Linked DNA regions of Notamacropus eugenii. The protein of the gene in region 1 interacts with the protein of each later gene in a pairwise test. Links are inferred from orthologs where the notes say so. Each region holds a gene or a part of one and is shown on either strand. Other genes may lie near its edges.

The links.
Region 2: the proteins of GRAMD2B (region 1) and CD207 interact in binary tests that used the Homo sapiens proteins (3 or more experiments, as listed by UniProt). The two-hybrid records come from large-scale screens. The link is inferred for Notamacropus eugenii from reciprocal best matches to the Homo sapiens genes GRAMD2B and CD207.

Annotation. Positions count from the first base shown.
Region 1 is NC_092874.1:348,593,899-348,602,963, forward strand, and holds the start of GRAMD2B (GRAM domain-containing protein 2B), read right to left. Parts: upstream 4,298-9,065; 5' UTR 4,205-4,297; coding exon 4,086-4,204; intron 1-4,085.
Region 2 is NC_092877.1:47,059,596-47,068,378, reverse strand, and holds the start of CD207 (C-type lectin domain family 4 member K), read right to left. Parts: upstream 3,977-8,783; 5' UTR 3,942-3,976; coding exon 3,866-3,941; intron 3,205-3,865; coding exon 3,088-3,204; intron 2,236-3,087; coding exon 1,858-2,235; intron 1-1,857. UniProt on the Homo sapiens protein: Calcium-dependent lectin displaying mannose-binding specificity. Induces the formation of Birbeck granules (BGs); is a potent regulator of membrane superimposition and zippering.

The DNA.
Region 1 (9,065 bases):
TGCAAGGAGCAAGAGTATTTGTGGAGCAGTGTGGTGGGGGTCCCCAGTCATGACATGGGGGTGCAGAAGAATGCCCAAGGTTGGGCCCCTGTACAGAGCTCAGAAAATTACAATAAGAAGGACCTGAGGCCTAGGGCACCACTCCTCACACCCAGGGTCTAAAATCAATTACAATAATAAGCTGCTAAAATTAAAACAAAATAAAAATGAGTAAGCAAAGGAGAAAGAATCTGACCATAGAGAACTGCTATGGGGATAGAGAACGTCTAGGTGAATATTCAGAGGAAGATAGAAAAGTTAAAAAAAGCCAATCTTAACTGAAAGAGAAACGTCAAATAGTCACAAGTCACAAGTTCAAAAAAAAAAAAGTTCTGGGAAGAACTTATAAAGGACTTCAAAAATCAAATTAGAGAGATTAAAGAAAAAATAGGAAAAAAATTAAGAGCAATCCAAGGAAATAAAAAAAAAATGAGAAGAAAGTCAACCAATTGGAAAAAAAAGTCCAAAAACTCAAGGAAGAAAATAACTACTTGAAAACTAGAACTGGGCAAGGGGAAGCTAATGACATTATAAGACAGCAGGAAATAATAAAACAAAATCAAGAGAATAAAAAAATATGCAACATCTTATTAGGAAAACAAGTGATTTGGAGAACAGATCAAGGAGAGAGAACATAAGAATTGTTGGATTACCTGAACGTTATGACAAAAAGAGTCTTGATACAGTATTACAAGAAATTGCTTTGAAGTTTTAGAACTGGAGGGTTAAGTAAATAGAAAGAATCCACTGTTCACTATCTGAAGGAAATTCCAAGATGAAAACTTACAGGAATATCATAGTCGAAATTAGGAGAGGTTAAAGAGAAAATACTACAAGCAATAAGAAAAACAATTTAAATTACTATGGAGCTACAATCAGGATCACACAAGATTTAGCAGCTTCTACATTAAAAGACTATGGGTCTTGGAACATAATATTTGAAGAGCAAAAGAGTTGCGGGTGTGAGCAAAAATAACTTTCTCAGTAAAACTGAATGTAATCTTGAACAATAATAACAAGAACAATATTCAATGAACTGAAAGACTTTCAGGTATTTGTGACAAAAAGACCGCAGCTCAATGGAAAATTTGACATATAAGATTCATAAAGTAAATATTAAAGACCAATTATAAGGGACTTAATAAGGTCAAATTGCTTATATGTGAAAATATTTGAATACTCTTAAGACTGTCATTAGGTAGCTTGAAAGAAAGGTTTGGACTCAGTTGAGTAAGATGGGTTAATTTTAAAAAATAAGACTGGGCAAGAAGAGGTAAAAAAGAGCAATTATCTCATACAAATGAGGAGTGAGTGAAAGAAAGAACTAAGATAGAGGTGAGTCAGGGTGGAGGACTGGTAGTGCTGGAATGTTACTCTCATCAGAACTAGGTTATAAAGGGAACAACATATACATCTAGGAGGATATAAAGGTCCTATAAATTTATAAAGAAATAAGAGGGTAATGGAAAATGATAAGATAGGGACTCTAAGGGGGGGTGAGTAGATTAAGGAACAGAAGGGCAAGGTAGAGGTTAGAAGTAAATTGGTTGTGTAATAGGATAAATAGTGAGGAAAAATAGGATGGAGGGAAATATGCATGCAGTAATTATAACTTTGAATGTGAATGCAATGAATTTACCCATAAAATGGAAATGGATAGCAGAACGGATTAAAATCAAAATCGGGCAATACATTGTTTACAAGAAACATAATTGAAAATGAGAGACAGAGTTAAAATAAAACACTGAAGTAGAATTTACTGTTTCATCTGATATTAAAAAAGTAGGTATAGCAATCGTGATTTCATACAAGGTTAAAGCTAATATAGACTTAATTAAAAGCAATAAACAGGGAAACTACACTATGTCACCAATATTATTCAATATTGTTTTAGAAATGAGAGAAGAAAAAGAAATTGAAGGAATCAGAATGGAAAATGAAGTAATAAAGTATCTCTTTTTACAGACTGTAAGATGATATATTTGGAAAATCCTAAAGATTTAACTAAAAAATTAGTTGAAATAGGTAATAATTTTAGCAAACTAGTAGGATATAAAATAAACCTACATACACCATCAGCATTTTTATATACAACCAACAAAATTCTGCAAGAAGAGATAACCCATTTAAAATAATTCTAGACATTATTAAATACCTGAGTATACCTGCCAAAACAGACCCAGGAATGGCATAAACATAATTATAAAACACTTCACACAAATAAAGCCAGACTTAAATGATTGGAGAAATAGTAATTGCTCAAGGGTAGTCAAAGTCAATATAATAAAAATGACAATTTAACCTAACTAATCTATCTATTCAATTCCATCCCAATTAAATTGCTAAAAAATTCTTTACTGAGCTAGAAAAAAAAATAACAAAACTCATTTGGAAGAACAAAAGGTTAAAAAATTTCAAAAAAACTAATGAAAAAATATAAAGGAATGTTCAGCTGTACCAGACCCCAAACTATAGTATAAGGCAGTAAATATCAAACCTACCTAGTACTGGCTAAGAGACAGAAAGGTAGATCAATGGAATAGAGTAGACATACAATACACAGTAACAAAGGATTATAGTAATCTTTTGTCTGATCCATGTAAAGATTTTAGCTTTTGCAATAAGAAGTCATTATTTGGTAAAAATTGGTGGGAAAGCTGAAAGCAGTTTCACAGAAATTGGGCATAGATCAATATCTTAGCCCATGTCATAAGGTCAACATGGAACATATTGCCTAGAAGATTCATGAACAGGAGAACAATTTGAGATAGAGATTATTGTGAATTGTAAAGTGGACAACATCAATTATATGAAATGAAGAAAGTTCTTGTACAAACAAAAACAATGTAGCCAATATCAGAAGGAAAGCAGAAAACAGGGAAAAAAAATTTGGGGGACAGTTTCTTAGATAAAGGTCTTGTTTTTCAAATATATAAAGAACTTTGTCAATTAGCACATCTATTTGAGTTATAAAATTGTTGCTAACTAATAATAATGGTAAAATGGAAATAACCATACTTTTGGTAGTTAGCTCACAGAACTATTTTGAAAATCAAATAAAATAACACATGTACAGTACATTGCAAACTTGAAATGCTACTATTATCAATATATTTTAGTTAGCTTTGTCAAATTTATAAGAATGAGTCATTCCCTAATTGATAAATGTAGAGGAAAAACCAAAGCTAATTAAAATCACTATATCCCTAATGAGTAGTTGAGCCAGAGAGCAATCCCCCTCCCATATCTATTGAATATGTATAGGAAAAAAATGGTTATTTTTCTGAATCTCTAAATGTATCTGTAATTCCAGCTATTTGTTTCTGCTTTATCTACCTAGCTGAAACTGAGGAAAGGGTCAAATTTTTTGTCAATGTTAGTGAACACATTCCAACTCCTGTTCTTTAACATTGAGTAGTAATTTTTATTATATTCTCTCTGAAAATACCATATTTTTAGGTTATGTACTTCTGAAAATTTGGCACATCTTTCCCATGTCTGCTTTCTTCTTTGGCTTAAATTTTATTTCATATCAAGAAGAAAGATAAAATATAGTGTTAATGATAGTGTGGAGGTTGTGAAGTTTGAGTCTACTTCTTTTGGATCTGTGGGATAAGGAGAATAGCCTGGATGAGACAGTCACATGAAAGAGTAAAGAATACCAAATTCCAAAAGACTTATAGTGGAAAATGCTATCTACATCCAGAGGAAGAACTGTGGGGTCAGGATGTTTATTGAAACATACTATTCTTTTTGTGGCTTTCCCCTTTTGTTCTGTTTCTTCTTTTACAGCATGAATAATGTAGAAATATATTTATACGATTGCACATGTATGACCTATATTGGATTGTTTGCTGTCTTGGGGAGGGGGGATGGGAGGGAAGGAGAAAGAAAAAGTTTGAAACTCAAAATTTTACTAAAAATGAATGTTGAAAACTATCTTTATATGTAATTAGAAAAATAAAATACTATTTACCAAAATAAAAAAACAAAAATAGACAAATGAAATAAGAAAAAAAAAAGAACGTCCAATTGTCGGTACTTACCTCAGAAACACGGATCCAGGGCTGTCTGCTGTACTAAGCTCCTCACTCAGACCCCTCTGACTGCTTAGATTTTCAAAATGAAAAACAGTATCACTAGACAATTGTCTTTTCTTCGCCATTGTGTGTGTGAGTTGCAAAAGTCAAGAAAGAAGCTTGAAACAATCATGGACACTCTGAAATGAGCATAGATGAGCGGTGTTCTGTCACTTCAGGAGTTCTCTTAGAGTGACCTCTAATCTACATTAGGCCTCTTAAAAAAGTTAATGAGTAACAGTAAGCTTGGAGTGGTTTCCTTTTACCCATATTTTTTCATAGGCAAAATATCAACTGATCCCAGATGCCTATTATTAGCCATATTAGCACTTTTGGAAATCTGTAACCATGGAAAATAAATGGGAAAAATCTGTTCATTGAACTTTGAAACAGAATTTAATTAGGAAACTAGAGATATCCAAAACACTACAAGCAAATCAAAAGACTTTTAAAATAACTATCCAAAGGAGTAGTAATGGGCTAAAAATCCTTGAATTTCCTTTACACTTGGCCTTTCTAGAGAATGTAACTTGGAAAAATGCATAGAAAAGAAGCTGCGGTCCTTTGTGTCAGTTCTTGTGGAGGTTTTACATAGAAAATTAGGACTTATTCAATATGTAAGTTGTATGTTTTTCTTTGTAAGCATTTTAAACACTGAATCCATAGGCGTTTGAGCTGAATGAGAGAATCTCTTTAATTCAGCTGAATAAGAATCCCTATCCTATAGTTCAGAAACAATACTGCAATTCTTCTACAAACAAAAAGGGCCCTGATTCACTCTGAACAGCTCTGAGTGCTGAGCTCTTTTTATAGAGGCAGCATGATGTGGTGGAAAGAGCACAAGAATTTGGACTCAGAAGACTTTGGCATCTGCCATTTATTAGCTGTGACTTAGTGCATGTTATTCTACAGAGTCTGCTTTCCTGGAAGGCAGTGTGGCTTCCGGGAGAGTACTTAGTCAATAAGCCCTGTCTTCAAGACATGCTTCTGGCTCTTAGGCTAAGTCACTTCACTCTATGTAAAATGGATAAAAATATTAGTGTCTACCTCACAGCGCTGCTGTGAAACTAGAATGAGAAAAAACATCTAAAGGCCTTTGAAAACTTTGCCACTCTATGAATATCATTTATTACTCATTAAATAGGATCAGTAATAGTCTACATTGTTCAATCAACCAACAAGCATTATTAAGAACTTGCTACCCACGGGGGATACAAAAATGAAACCCTCAAGATTTCAAAAAATAAATGCCCTCAAGGATCATACATTTTATTGAGGTAGACAACATGTACCTATATAAATGTAGGGTTTGTGTGTTGCCTGTGTAAGTTATATGTATGTTTACATACCAAGGAGGCATGAATAAGATATCCCTGGAGTCTCATCTGCTCCTCTCCATGGGAAACTTTGATTCCTGCCTAAAGGGAAAAAATGTTTAGGGCCAAAAGGCTGGCCCACTCAACTATCCTCAGGAAGGGCTGGTCTAGAATTATATCTTTCTGCCCCCCTTCCTTAAATATGGCTAGTCCAGGGGAAGTGAGTTTTTGTGTTAACCCTATTTTTCTTTTTTTCTGTCCCTTAAGGGAGAAAGAATGTCCAAACTTTGTCAAAGGATAAACTCCTTTCCCATCAATTGCCAGTTACAGAAAGACCTTTACAAAGGTGAATAACAAATAAACATATTAGGCAATTCACTTAGTAATTGATCTCTCCCTGTAGGAGGAAGATCTGAGTGTGTGTGTGTGTGTGTGTGTGTGTGTGAGAGAGAGAGAGACAGAGAGACAGAGAGACAGAGAGAGAGACAGAGGAGAGAGACAGAGAGAGACAGAGAGAGAGAGACAGAGAGAGACAGAGAAAGAGAGAGAGAGAGAGAGAGAGACAGAGAGACAGAGACAGAGAGAGACAGAGACAGAGAGACAGAGAGACAGAGAGGGAGAGAGAGAAATGCTCAATCAGTTTCACCAGGAGATATTCCTTGATGTTTCTAAGGCATCAAACTGAGGCACATCCTGATTTCTTCTTGGAGGTTTCCCCCCACTGCTCCAAGATAACCTGGTACTGAGGGATTGTTTTTGCCTTCCTTTGTAATCTTAAAGCAGCATAACACATGGCACATGATGACTGCTTAAAAAATGTTTGTTGGCCTTACTCTTCTATATCCTTTGACACTGTTGACCATTCCCTTCTTTTGGATTTTTTTTCTTTTTTGCATTTTTGTGATACTGCTCTGTCTTCATTCTTGTTCAGTTTATTTGTCCATTCCTTCTCCTCCTTTGCTGATCTATCATTCATATCATGTTTTTATCTGTAGGTATACCCCAAGATACTGGTCTTCTCTTTTCTCTCTACTTTATCACTTGATGGGCTTCTCAGTTCTCATGGGTTTAATTGCGATGTCTATGTAGAAGACTTAGAGAGGTATAAATCCAGCCCTACTCTTTTTTTCCCCTGAGTTTGAGTTGTGTATCTCCAACAGTCTATTGAATATTTCAAGTGAAATATAACGCAAGTATTTCAGACTCAACAAATCCAAAATAGAAATCATCTTTCTCCTAAAATCTACCAGTTACCCAGGTTTGCAGCTTTCATTCTTTCCTTCACCTTAAAGTTTGTCTCTCTGCTCACTTCAGCTCATGCCTTTATAATAACATCTGGGCCATTTCAATGGTCTCCTAATCAATCTCCTTGTTTGTCTTCCCCACTATCCAATCCATCCTCCCCACAAACTGCCAAAGTCATTTCCCAATGGAAATATAAATCTTACAGTTGATGATAAACACTAATGGCTCTTTTGCTTCTATGACCAAATACCAGCACCTTTATTTGACATGAAAGCTTTTCATAACCTGATGCCAGCCTACTTGTATCATATTACTATACTTTACTCCTCCTCCCACCCTCTATGGTCCAGCCAAACTTGCCTTCTTGCATTCTTCACATGTGACAATCTATCCCTCATCAACAGGCTTTTGCATTATCAGACCCCTCCACTCTACCTGCACTCTCTCCTAACCTTTTCCTTCAAGACTCAGTTTAATCCCCAATTTGAAAGGGAAGCTTTTCCTGACACTCCCAGTTCCTTGTGTCTTCTCTATGCCCAAATACCTTATATTTATTTTATTCACATTTTGTGTATCCTTGTGTAACTCAGGGTTGTCTTTGGTTGTGAGTCTGAGAGACTAAGAGGATGGTGCTGCCATCTATAGTAATAGAAAAAGTAGGAAGGGGAGAGGGTTCAAGGCGAGAGATAATGAGTTCCTTTTTGGACATACTGAGTTTAAGATGCTTCCTGGACATCCAATTTGAGCCATCTGAAAGGCCGTTGGACATGTGAAATAGGACTTGGACGATTCATGGTCATCTAAGAATGCAATCAAACTTTATTGAATACTGAAATGATTCATATTCATCCAAGTATGCAATCAAACTTTATTGACTATAAAAACAAAGGTTCCAGTAAATGTCTTATTCATGAGAAAGTTCCCTTCCTACTCATCCAAAGGCAATATATCTCCCTACAAGGTAACATTCTGACAAGTTTCTGCAATTGGTACTACCTTCAAGTGTACATAGGATGCTCAATCTTATGTGTGTGAAGAACACGAGTCTATCCTAGTCTTGACTTAGAAACAGACTGATGACTGGGACCTCTAGTAGTTTTAAATATTTTTGTCTATGAGTGTTTCTAAGTTACACATAGTTCTGATTTGTGATTGAGTATCTGTACCTATGATGAAAGGAAACTATCAACCAAAACTTCAGTTTCCTAATTTCAATAGTAAGTGTTTATCAGTTGTTTAACAAGTTAAGAACACATGCAAACATCATAAGAAGTGATTTGGGAGATGTATATTCTGACATATGTCATTACCAAACTCTGCACAAATACTTATTACAGAAAAACAACATATAATAATTACTTGGTCACAAAATGGAGGCTTAACACAAAACCTAGTTGATGAAGCTAAGTTATCTTATTCCCATAACATTCATTCTGAGATATCCAATAGGCGATCTCATCAAGATGAAGATTGAGAATAGGGCATTAGATCTGGCGATTAAGAGGGTTAGGGATGATTTTCTAATACCATTGACTCAAGGCCCCACTGGTTTACTTCTCCCAAAATTATCAGTTGAGAATCATTTAGTCAGTCAGCCTAAAATCCTTAAAAAAAATTTTTTCTAAAGAAAAGTGGTACAATAAGAAGAGCTAATACAAAACACATCCCCTCCTCCTCTCCCAATCTATGGCAAACTCTTTCCCAATTGTCTACAGAGACAAGTAGGAAGTAGATTCAGGCTTAGAGAAAACACAGGATAACTAACAAAGTCTAATAGCTACACGTCCTTTTCTTCCATTTGCGGGATACTCCAATAGCATGTTAAATCTATTTCTTCCTGCCCTTAGCTCCTAGTGTCAACGGGAGGTCCAATATCCTTTAGATCCTTTGAAGTTTGAGAAGTCCTCCTTTGCCCAAAGGTGAGGGAAGGTAAGGGGGAGAGATCTGGCCATGGGACTCTGGAATGTAAAGAATATGAAGGGCTAGCAAGAAAATGAGACAAAATAGGCTGACCCCCTTTTTTAGAGGTCAGGCTCTCCCAGGAGTGAACCTAATTTATATATACTTGAAAGGGGTCCCTTATTGGAGGACAGTGTACAGTACTAAAATCACCCACTTGTGTGTCCTGGTTTTTAAAGATTTTAAATGTTTTAATAGTATTTTATCTTTTTCCAATTACATGAAAAGATGATTTTTAATGTTTATTTAATTTTTTTTGAGTTCCCAATTTTCTCTTTCCGTCCTTAACCCTCCCATCTCCCTAAAAAGGCAAGAAATTTGACATGTTATATATATGCAATCATATAAAACATATTTCCATATTAGTTGTGTTGTGAGAAAAGAAACAGACAAAAAGGAAAAAAATAAAGTGAAAATAGCATGCTTT
Region 2 (8,783 bases), on another chromosome or scaffold:
CTTTGTATGTGCATCATTAGCCAACCTAATGACGCATGTACATCGCTGAAAAAATATGTGAGCCAAAGGAAACAGGGGCAGGAAGCAAGGAATGAATGTACTGAGAAGAAGTAGAGATTGCCAAGAAAATCTAAGGATGGTCGAAAGAGTGATGAGCAGAGATGTTTCTAAGCTATGTTTTGGGGGAAAAGAAAGTTCAAAGAAAGGCTAGGACCACTACCTGTAAGGGGTGAATGGGGTGATGATAACTAATTACGAGAGAAGACAGAGCTGCCCAGCTCATATTTTATTTGTTTTCCCTGAAAAGGAAAATGAACTTTAAACTGAAAAGGATGGAGCAAAAAATGGCTACTAGGAAGGTGATACTCAAGATAAAAAAAATACTTTGTAAAGGCTAGCTATTGTTATTATTTTACAGATGAAAAAACTGAGGCCCAGAGATGGATTGACTTGCCCAGAGTCATTCAGGTGGTAAGCAGCTATGACAAGCTTCACACCCAAGTGTTATGATTCCAAGATCAATGTAGATTTGCTGATCCTGCTGTATTCTTCCTTGCCTTGGCCAATTAAACCATATAAGAGTATTGTGTTTGATCATGGGCACCAAATTTTGGGAAAAACCTTGATAAACTGAAAAGTATTAAGAAGAAGGTAACTAGGAAAGATCTTGAGACCATGTCCTTTGAGGACTGGTGAAACTGGAGAAGGTTAGCTAAAGAAGAGAAGATGAGGCTTCAGTATTTGAAAAGCTGATGCATTGACTTTTATCGATGTGTTTTGCATGACTACACATGTATAACCTATATCAAAATGCTTGCTTCTCAGTTGGGGGGGGCAGGGAAGAAGAGAGAGAATTTTGAGCTCAAATTTTTTAAAACAAATGTTAAAAATTGTTCTTCATGTAACTGGGGAAAAATAGAATACTAAATACACAAAAATAAAAGAAAAGTTGATTCATGGAAAAGAGATTAGACTTTTTCTTTTCTGGGGCAGGGGGATAATTTAGGAGTATGGAATAAAAAGCAATGGGGAGAAGTGGAAAAAATAGTCAAATCTGGGCTTGATATAAAGAAACTTTCCTAATATTTAAAGCTATCTGAAAGTTGAATGGGCTGCCTTAGGAACTAGAGGCATCCCTCATCATGAGATTATAAATTTAAAGCTGAAAGGGACTTTAGAAAGCCTCAAGTCCAGCCCCTTCATTTTATGAGGAATCTGAGGTGCAGAGAGGTTGTGACTCTCCCACAGTCACACAGGTAGTAAAGGACTGAAAAAGGATTTGAACTAAGGTCAAAAGCTAAGGTCAACTCCAAATTCAAGGTTCGTTCAGAGATCTTGTTCAGGTGTGAGGTGGCCCGGACCACCTTCGAAGTTCTTTGTACCATTGAGATTTTGTGATGCTGGGGCATGCTCAAGCTCACACAGAAAACCAGTGGCAGAGTCCAGATCTTGAAACTTAGAAGGGGATAGGTTACTTGACTCTCCCTGTAGCCAGCAAGGGATAGCCCATGCTCCACCTGATAATGTGACCTGGTGTAAAATAACTGGGGCTATAAAAACCAGACAGTTCTCCAGTGACTTTCATTTTTAAAGTCACAGTCCAGAGGTCATCTTTTTTTTCTTCTACAGGGCCTCTTCATTTGAAGGATCCCGGAGCCTTCTCCAACCTCCCAGTGGGACATCCTCCTTCACCATGGCAGGGCTCTCTATCCCTGTTGGGGTCCCTTTCTCCATCTCAGAATTCCTGCCTGAGCTCTGCTGACCCTAGATCCAACTTCCCCAGTATCCTTAGCATCTGAAGCTTCAGGAGCAGCTTCTCCCACACCGTCCTCCCCCACAGGGACACCAAGTACTCACGCTGCTGTGACAAGGATGCCCCCAGGGTCTGCAGGTCTTTCCTGAGCTGCTCAACATTAGCAGTTAGCTCCCTACTTTTCTTCAAATCCTGTTTCAGCATTGGAATCTGGCTGTTTAAATCCTCAAGCTCTTTCCAAGTGCTCCTCAATACCTGAAGCTGCTCCGTGTCCTGCCTCAGCTTGGCACTTAATAGCTTTATCTGAATATTGGCATTCCCCAGGCTGCGGTTTAGCGTCTGGACCTGGGTACGGGAATCCTCCAGTTTGTTTCTCAGCTTCCTTATCTCAGAGCTGAGAAAGACACTGGTGTTCTCCGCACGGCCTTGGAGCATTTGGACAGAAGTCTTGACATCATTTATCCTTCCCAGTAACTGGGGATCTGGGGAGGAAAAAATTATAAGGTTAGCTGGAGGGTTGACTTGTCTGTTCCAACCCCTTCGTTTCACAGATGAGGAAATGGAGGATCAGAGAGACTAACTGACGTGGCCAGAGTCACACAGGTGGTGTCCAAAGAGGGATTTGAACCCAGCTCTTCTGACCTCAGAAAGTACTTTTTTTCATCATACCCCACTTATGCCTGTGCCTAAGTTATACGGTATAAGGATTCATACAAAGGAATAGCTAACAGTGGGGCTCATAAGAGAAGGGCCACCAGGGGTCACAGACAAGTCCCTAAATGCAGAGAGGTAGGACCAGGGGAGGATGTAGGGAGCCATGAGAATGGGGTACAGGACACAAGCATGTAGTAGGAACCAAAGATGGGGGTACATGAAACTAGTGAAAGAAACATAAGGAGAGAGAGGCAAGGGACTGAAGAAAGAGTCTGGAGGAAAAGGGAAAGTATGGGAATTTGCAGCCAGAGGACAAAGATAAGTAACTTAATTTCTCTGGAGCTCAGTTTCCTCATCTGTAAAATGAGGGAATGGATAGTCACTAATGTCCCTTCTAGCTCTGGATCTTACTGTCAGTTCTGCAGTGGGAGGGCAAAGATGAGCAGACCTGGGAAAGGAGCCTGCAGGAGAAGGAGGAGGAAAAATAAGAAGAAAAGGAGGAGAAGATGCGGGCATACGGGAAAGAGAAATAGGACTAGGAATGGGTGGCTGCCAAGAACAGGACAAAGCCTCAGTGGGGTGAGGAGTAACTTTATCTGTGAGTGTGCAAGGAAGAAGCCCTTCCTCTCCCAAGCTGGGGAAAGGCCAAGAATCATGGGAGTTCAAGGGCATTCACTTACAGAGAATGATCATGGTCAGGAGGAAGACAACAAAACCCACTGCCAACAGAAAAAGAGCCACATAGACAGAAGGCAAGGTCCGTGGGATTGCAGGGGACTCCTTTTTTGGAGGAGGGTCTGTTGGGAGAAGAAAAAAAAGAAAGCAAGTCTGTAGAAGAACCAGGCCCAAATACGCATTAATTAATCAATGAGCTTCCTGTGGGTCAGGCACTATGTTAATTGTCGAGGTTACAAATACAAAGAATGAAACAATCCTTACTCTCAAGAAGCTGGCATTCTGGGACAGTGAGGTAGGTGGCTCAGTGGATAGACCACCATCCTTGGAGTCAGGAATTCAAATCTAGCCTTAGGTACTTACTAGTTATGTGACCCTGGGCTTAGCCCTGCTTGACTCGAAAAAAGAAGACACTGTTATTCTACCAGGAGATCAGCTGGCTTTCTTTATATACCCAGAGTTTGACACATAAAAACACTTAATACTTAACTGAGTTGACAAAAAGTTCATAGGTAAGATTATCTTATTCTATTATTTCTGCATTCTACATTTTATGTATGCATTTCTATATTCTATATATATACTATATTACCTATATTCAGAATACAGAGAATAAATATTATTTATTATTTAAATTTAATAGTAAATTAAAAATTAAATATTTTAAAATGTAAGATATACAAGTTAGCTGGAGAAGAAGGTCAAATACAGGAATGCACAAAAAAGAGGGAATGAGGAAGGTCTGCATGTTTAGGAGAACAGAGTGGACCCTCCTGAACTCACCTCGGGGCCACAGGGAGATATCCTGGTTGTCCACTGTGAAATGGGCCACTTGAATTTCCTTCTCATTTTCCTTCATCCTGGCCTGGGTCACACTGTGTCCTTAGGTACCACTCACAACTGTTGCTTCAAGGGCATCTTTATCTAGAAATAAAAGTGGGAAGTGTCCTCATGAGATACCCTGCCCACCTCAACCCCAAAAGTCCATGCTACATTCACGAGACCAGGTCCAGACCACAACTCCACCCTTTGCCTCCAGACCAGGACCTCAGGGACGTCAGCATGAACCTTTTGTCATGAATCCAACCAAAGACTCCGTCACAGAAAGATTCCCTAAATCCTATCCCTATCCATTTTTTTCTTCTCTTCCCTCCTTCAAAAGACTGCTCAGGGTCTTTTTTTGTGCAGGAAAAAAAGGCAATTCAGAAAGTGCGCATATTGAAGTATGGCTGAACAAATTATAGTATATGAATGCAATGGAAAATCATTGTGCCATAAGAAATTGTGAAATATATGGTCTAAGAAAAAAGTAGGAAGAACTTCATGGACTGGTGAGGAATGAAATGAAACAAACCAAGAAAATGATTTATACAATGAAAATATTACTAATAAAACTTTGAAAGAGATGAGAAGTTTGATCAATATACTGACAAGTTATAATTCTAGAAGACCACAGATGAAGCATCACCTCCTGACAGAGAAGAGAGCAATTCAAAATGTAGACTGTTTTTGTATACGGCCAATGAGGGAATTTGCTTTGCTTGACTTTGTACATTTGTTGTGAGGGTTTTGTGTTTTTCTGTCTTTTTTCTTTTTATTTTGTTTAGTGGTGGGGGATGAGAAGGAAAGAATATAAATGCTTGTTAATTAGGGGAATAAATTAATTTAAAGGTTCCTCAGACTCATGTTCCCTATACTTGTTGCAAGTGAACCTTTCCCACCCCATCTCCTTCCTAAGTAGCTCTTCTCCCACACCTCTACCCTCACCAGCATCCTCCAGGGAAAGATGTCTCAAAGATGAATTTAGACTTGGAAGTGACCTTAGAGCTCATCTAATTTTATGTTCCCATTTTACAAATGAAGAAACTGAGGCCTAGATGAGGTTAAGTGGTTAGCCCAAGGACATTCAGGAAGTAAGTAGGAGAGCCAGGATTTGATTTGCAGATCCTACATTTAAGACCCTGCTATATCATGTTGCCTCTCTGTTAATGTACTTCCATCTTGTGTCTAAAATCAGTGTGGTCTATTTCCATTAGACCTAAGCTCCCTAAGGATAGGATAATGTCTAACTCTTTGACTGTATTCACCAAGAGTGAGCATGTCCACAATCACATCAGGGGCGGCCAGAACAAGGGAGTTCTGTGTCCTTTCTTTAAAGTAGGGGATTTTTTTCTATCTTTTCATCCAGTGTCTAATAGAAAGATCCACCTTCAATAGTTTCTTCAGACAGAGGAGACAAATAGAGAATTTCAAGTCTCCTTTGAGCTGAATGAAAGACTGTTTTCTCCAGACAGCTTCTTTTGCTGTTGGCCAAGGTGTGTATAGAAAAGGGAGAGAGGAAGGAGTATGTCATTGGAGGAGTTGTTCTGACAGCTGCCTGAGGGCTTCTGCTGTCTTTAAACTAAAGTAACTCATGCCATTGCATGAGCCTGACTGGACTTTAAAGGGTTACGTTTGGTCTTTGATAAGGCTTCTCTATGGTCAGTGTTATTTGGTAAGGACATCTGAAGAGGAAGTCGAATGGAATGTCAAGACCACCACACCTCTAGACTTGAGGTCAAAAGACATGAGTTCAAATCCTGGCTCTATCACTTGCTACCTGGGTAATTTTAGAATAGTCACTTCCTCTTTCGAGGGTCTCTGTTTCTCTATAAAATGAATGACTTGATCAAATTTTCTCTGTGTTTCTTTTCAGTCTTAATCATGTATGATTCCATGATTCCAGACCCGAGTGACGAGGCTACACCCAAAGTAGCCAGCCGTCAGTGGAAAGCAGAGGGAATAAACTCTGGCCCTAGCTCTACTATTGTCCTTCATTTTTCTTGTTTAATCCTTTCATGCTTTGAACCTGTATTAATTTCCTGGATTATCCTTAGATTGTTTTTCATCTTGTCTCTCTTCTACTTCCCCAGACTGAACTCCTGGGTAAAATATCGTGTTTTGAATTCAGCCACCACCCTGGTGCTTCCTCTGTATAAAAACTATGCTAATTCATTGCTGTAGCCCTGAACTTGCCTGGAGCATAGCAGGGACTCAGAAACACCTTGTGACCTGGGACTTTTTGCTTGGGTTCCTGACCCCCAAAGCCCAGAATGCCTCCTTGTTCTAACTTTGGATACCCTGCTGATGTTTCTAGCCTTTCCTTGCTCTGGCTTTGGATCACTGTGTTCACTGGGTGCCCACCTGGCCCATCAAGTTCACTTTGACCTCAGCTTTTGTGTGTATATGTGTGCTCATTAGAGTATGAGGCTCAATATAGAAATAAATTGACTGGTTTCAGGGAGGAAGGGATGCTTTTAGTGCCTTTCCTTCCCCATTCACTCCTTTGTCCCTTCCTTCTTTCATTCATCATTTATTCAACCCCTATTTCATGCATCCCTTGGGGTCCCCATCTGAAGGAGGGTATAGAAGAGGAGAATAAGGAAGCAGAGAGGAAGATCATAGAAGAATGTAGAGCTAGATGCAGTATTAAACATCCCCTAGCCCATTCCCTTCACTTTAGAGAAAAGGAAAATGAAGTTCAGAGAAGAAAGATAAGTTTTCTAAGATCACATAGATAATAAATACCAAAACTAGAATTTCAAACCAGGTCCTCCAAGTCAAAATTTATTGCTTTCCTTTTTATATGAGAAGCAAGAAAAAAAAGTGCAGAAAGAGAAATAAGAAGACTCATATTCCTTTACAACTTACAAACCTATGACAAGATTGAGTTATTTCAGGAAAAGAGGGATAATTCAATATTACAACAACTATAAATATAACTGATCATATTAGTAATAAAAACAATAAAATCACATGATAATATCAATAGATGGGAAAAAGCCTTTGACAAAATGTAGCATTCATTTATGTTTTTAAAAAGCAGTAAAAATCATGGAAATAAATAGAACTTTCCTAATATGATAAGCAATACTTTTCTAAAGCCAAGGACTATCATTATTTTTGATACTAATATTTTTCCAGTAAGATGGTAGTAAATTTTTTTAAATGCCCCTTTTTACCATTGTTTGGTATCATTCTAAAAATTCTAACTACAGTAATAATAAAAGAAAAGAAGTCTGAAAAATAGGCTGAAAGAAGGAAAATTATCTCTATTTTCAAATGACATAACTTTTTTAGAGAATCCTAGAAATTTTATAAAAAATCAGAACAATTAAAAACTTCAATAAAGTAGTATTATGACATAAACCCACAAAATCATCATATTATTAATAAAAGCTGTCAGAAAGAGATTTTTAAAAATTCCATTCAAAATAGTGACAAAACACATAAAATTTCTGAACAATAACCCATCAAGACACACTCAGGATTTATATGATTGCAACTTCAAGACGTTCTTTATAGAAATTAAGGAATATGTAAACAATTGAGCAGATAGTCATTGTGTATGTTTGGGTCATGCCAACATAATAAAAGTAATTATACTACCCAAATTAATTACAGATTTATACTCTACCCATCAAAATCTCAAGGGATCACTTTATATAGGATTATATTTACCCTATAAAGGATTTTATTTTTATTAGTAGACAAAATAATGAAATTCATCTAAATAAACAAAATAGTAAGAATCTCAAGGTAAATAGTGAGGACATAGCATTGCCAAACCTTAAACTACAATATAAAACAGTAATCATTGAAACTATTGGGTATGTGCTTAAAAAGTAGAAAAGTTGATCAGTGGAACAGACAAGGTAAATCAGTCCCAGAAGCAATCAAATATGCTAGCTGATAAACTATCTGATAAATGCCAAAATACAAACTACTGGGTTAAGGATTCCTTATTTGATAAGAAATTGCTAGGAGAACTAGTTTGGCTCCAAATGCATGACCTAAACTATAAAAGATCATACCACAACAAAAAGAGATGTGTGGGAAAAGATCCCTTTTATAATTATGAATTCTTGATTAAGAAGGAATAGAAATGTTGATAAGAAATAAAAGAAATAACTTTCATTACATAAAATTAGAAAGTTTTACATGGAGAAAATAAATTCAGAATGAATGTGAAGCTACAAATTGGGGAATAAAAACTTCAAAGCAAATATCTCTGATAAAGGTCTGTTATTCAAGATACATAGGGAATTCATGAAAATATAGAATAACAAGAACTGTACCCCAGTAGGTATAGTGATCACAGGGAAAGAATGTTCCAAATCACCAATTATACACACACACACACACACATACACACACGCATGCACATATGGCATATAATATACATACAGAAATATTTATAATAGCATTTTTGTGGCAGCAAAGAACTGGAAGCAAATTGTATACCTATTGATTGGGGAATGGTTGGACAAATCATGGCATATGACTCTAATTGAAAATTATTTTCATCATGAAAATGACAAATACAAAGAATTCAGGAAAACGGGAAAACTTGTATGAACTATGGCCAAGTGAAATGAGCAGAACCAGAAGACAGTTTACACAGTGAACACAAAAATAGAAAGAAAAACAACACTGAAAGACACCAGAACTCTCCCAATGCAGTTTTGAAGAACTCTTCCTCAAGTATGTCTCCTTGTCTGCAGAGAGATGGTAGACCGTAGTTACAGAATAAAGCATATGTATCAGATGTGACCAGTGTGTTGATTGTCATGCTTAGCTACCCAACTCTGTTGGGAGGGTGGGCTGAGCTACTTGGAAATCACAGTGGTGTACAAAAAAAAAGCACCAACAAAATATTTTT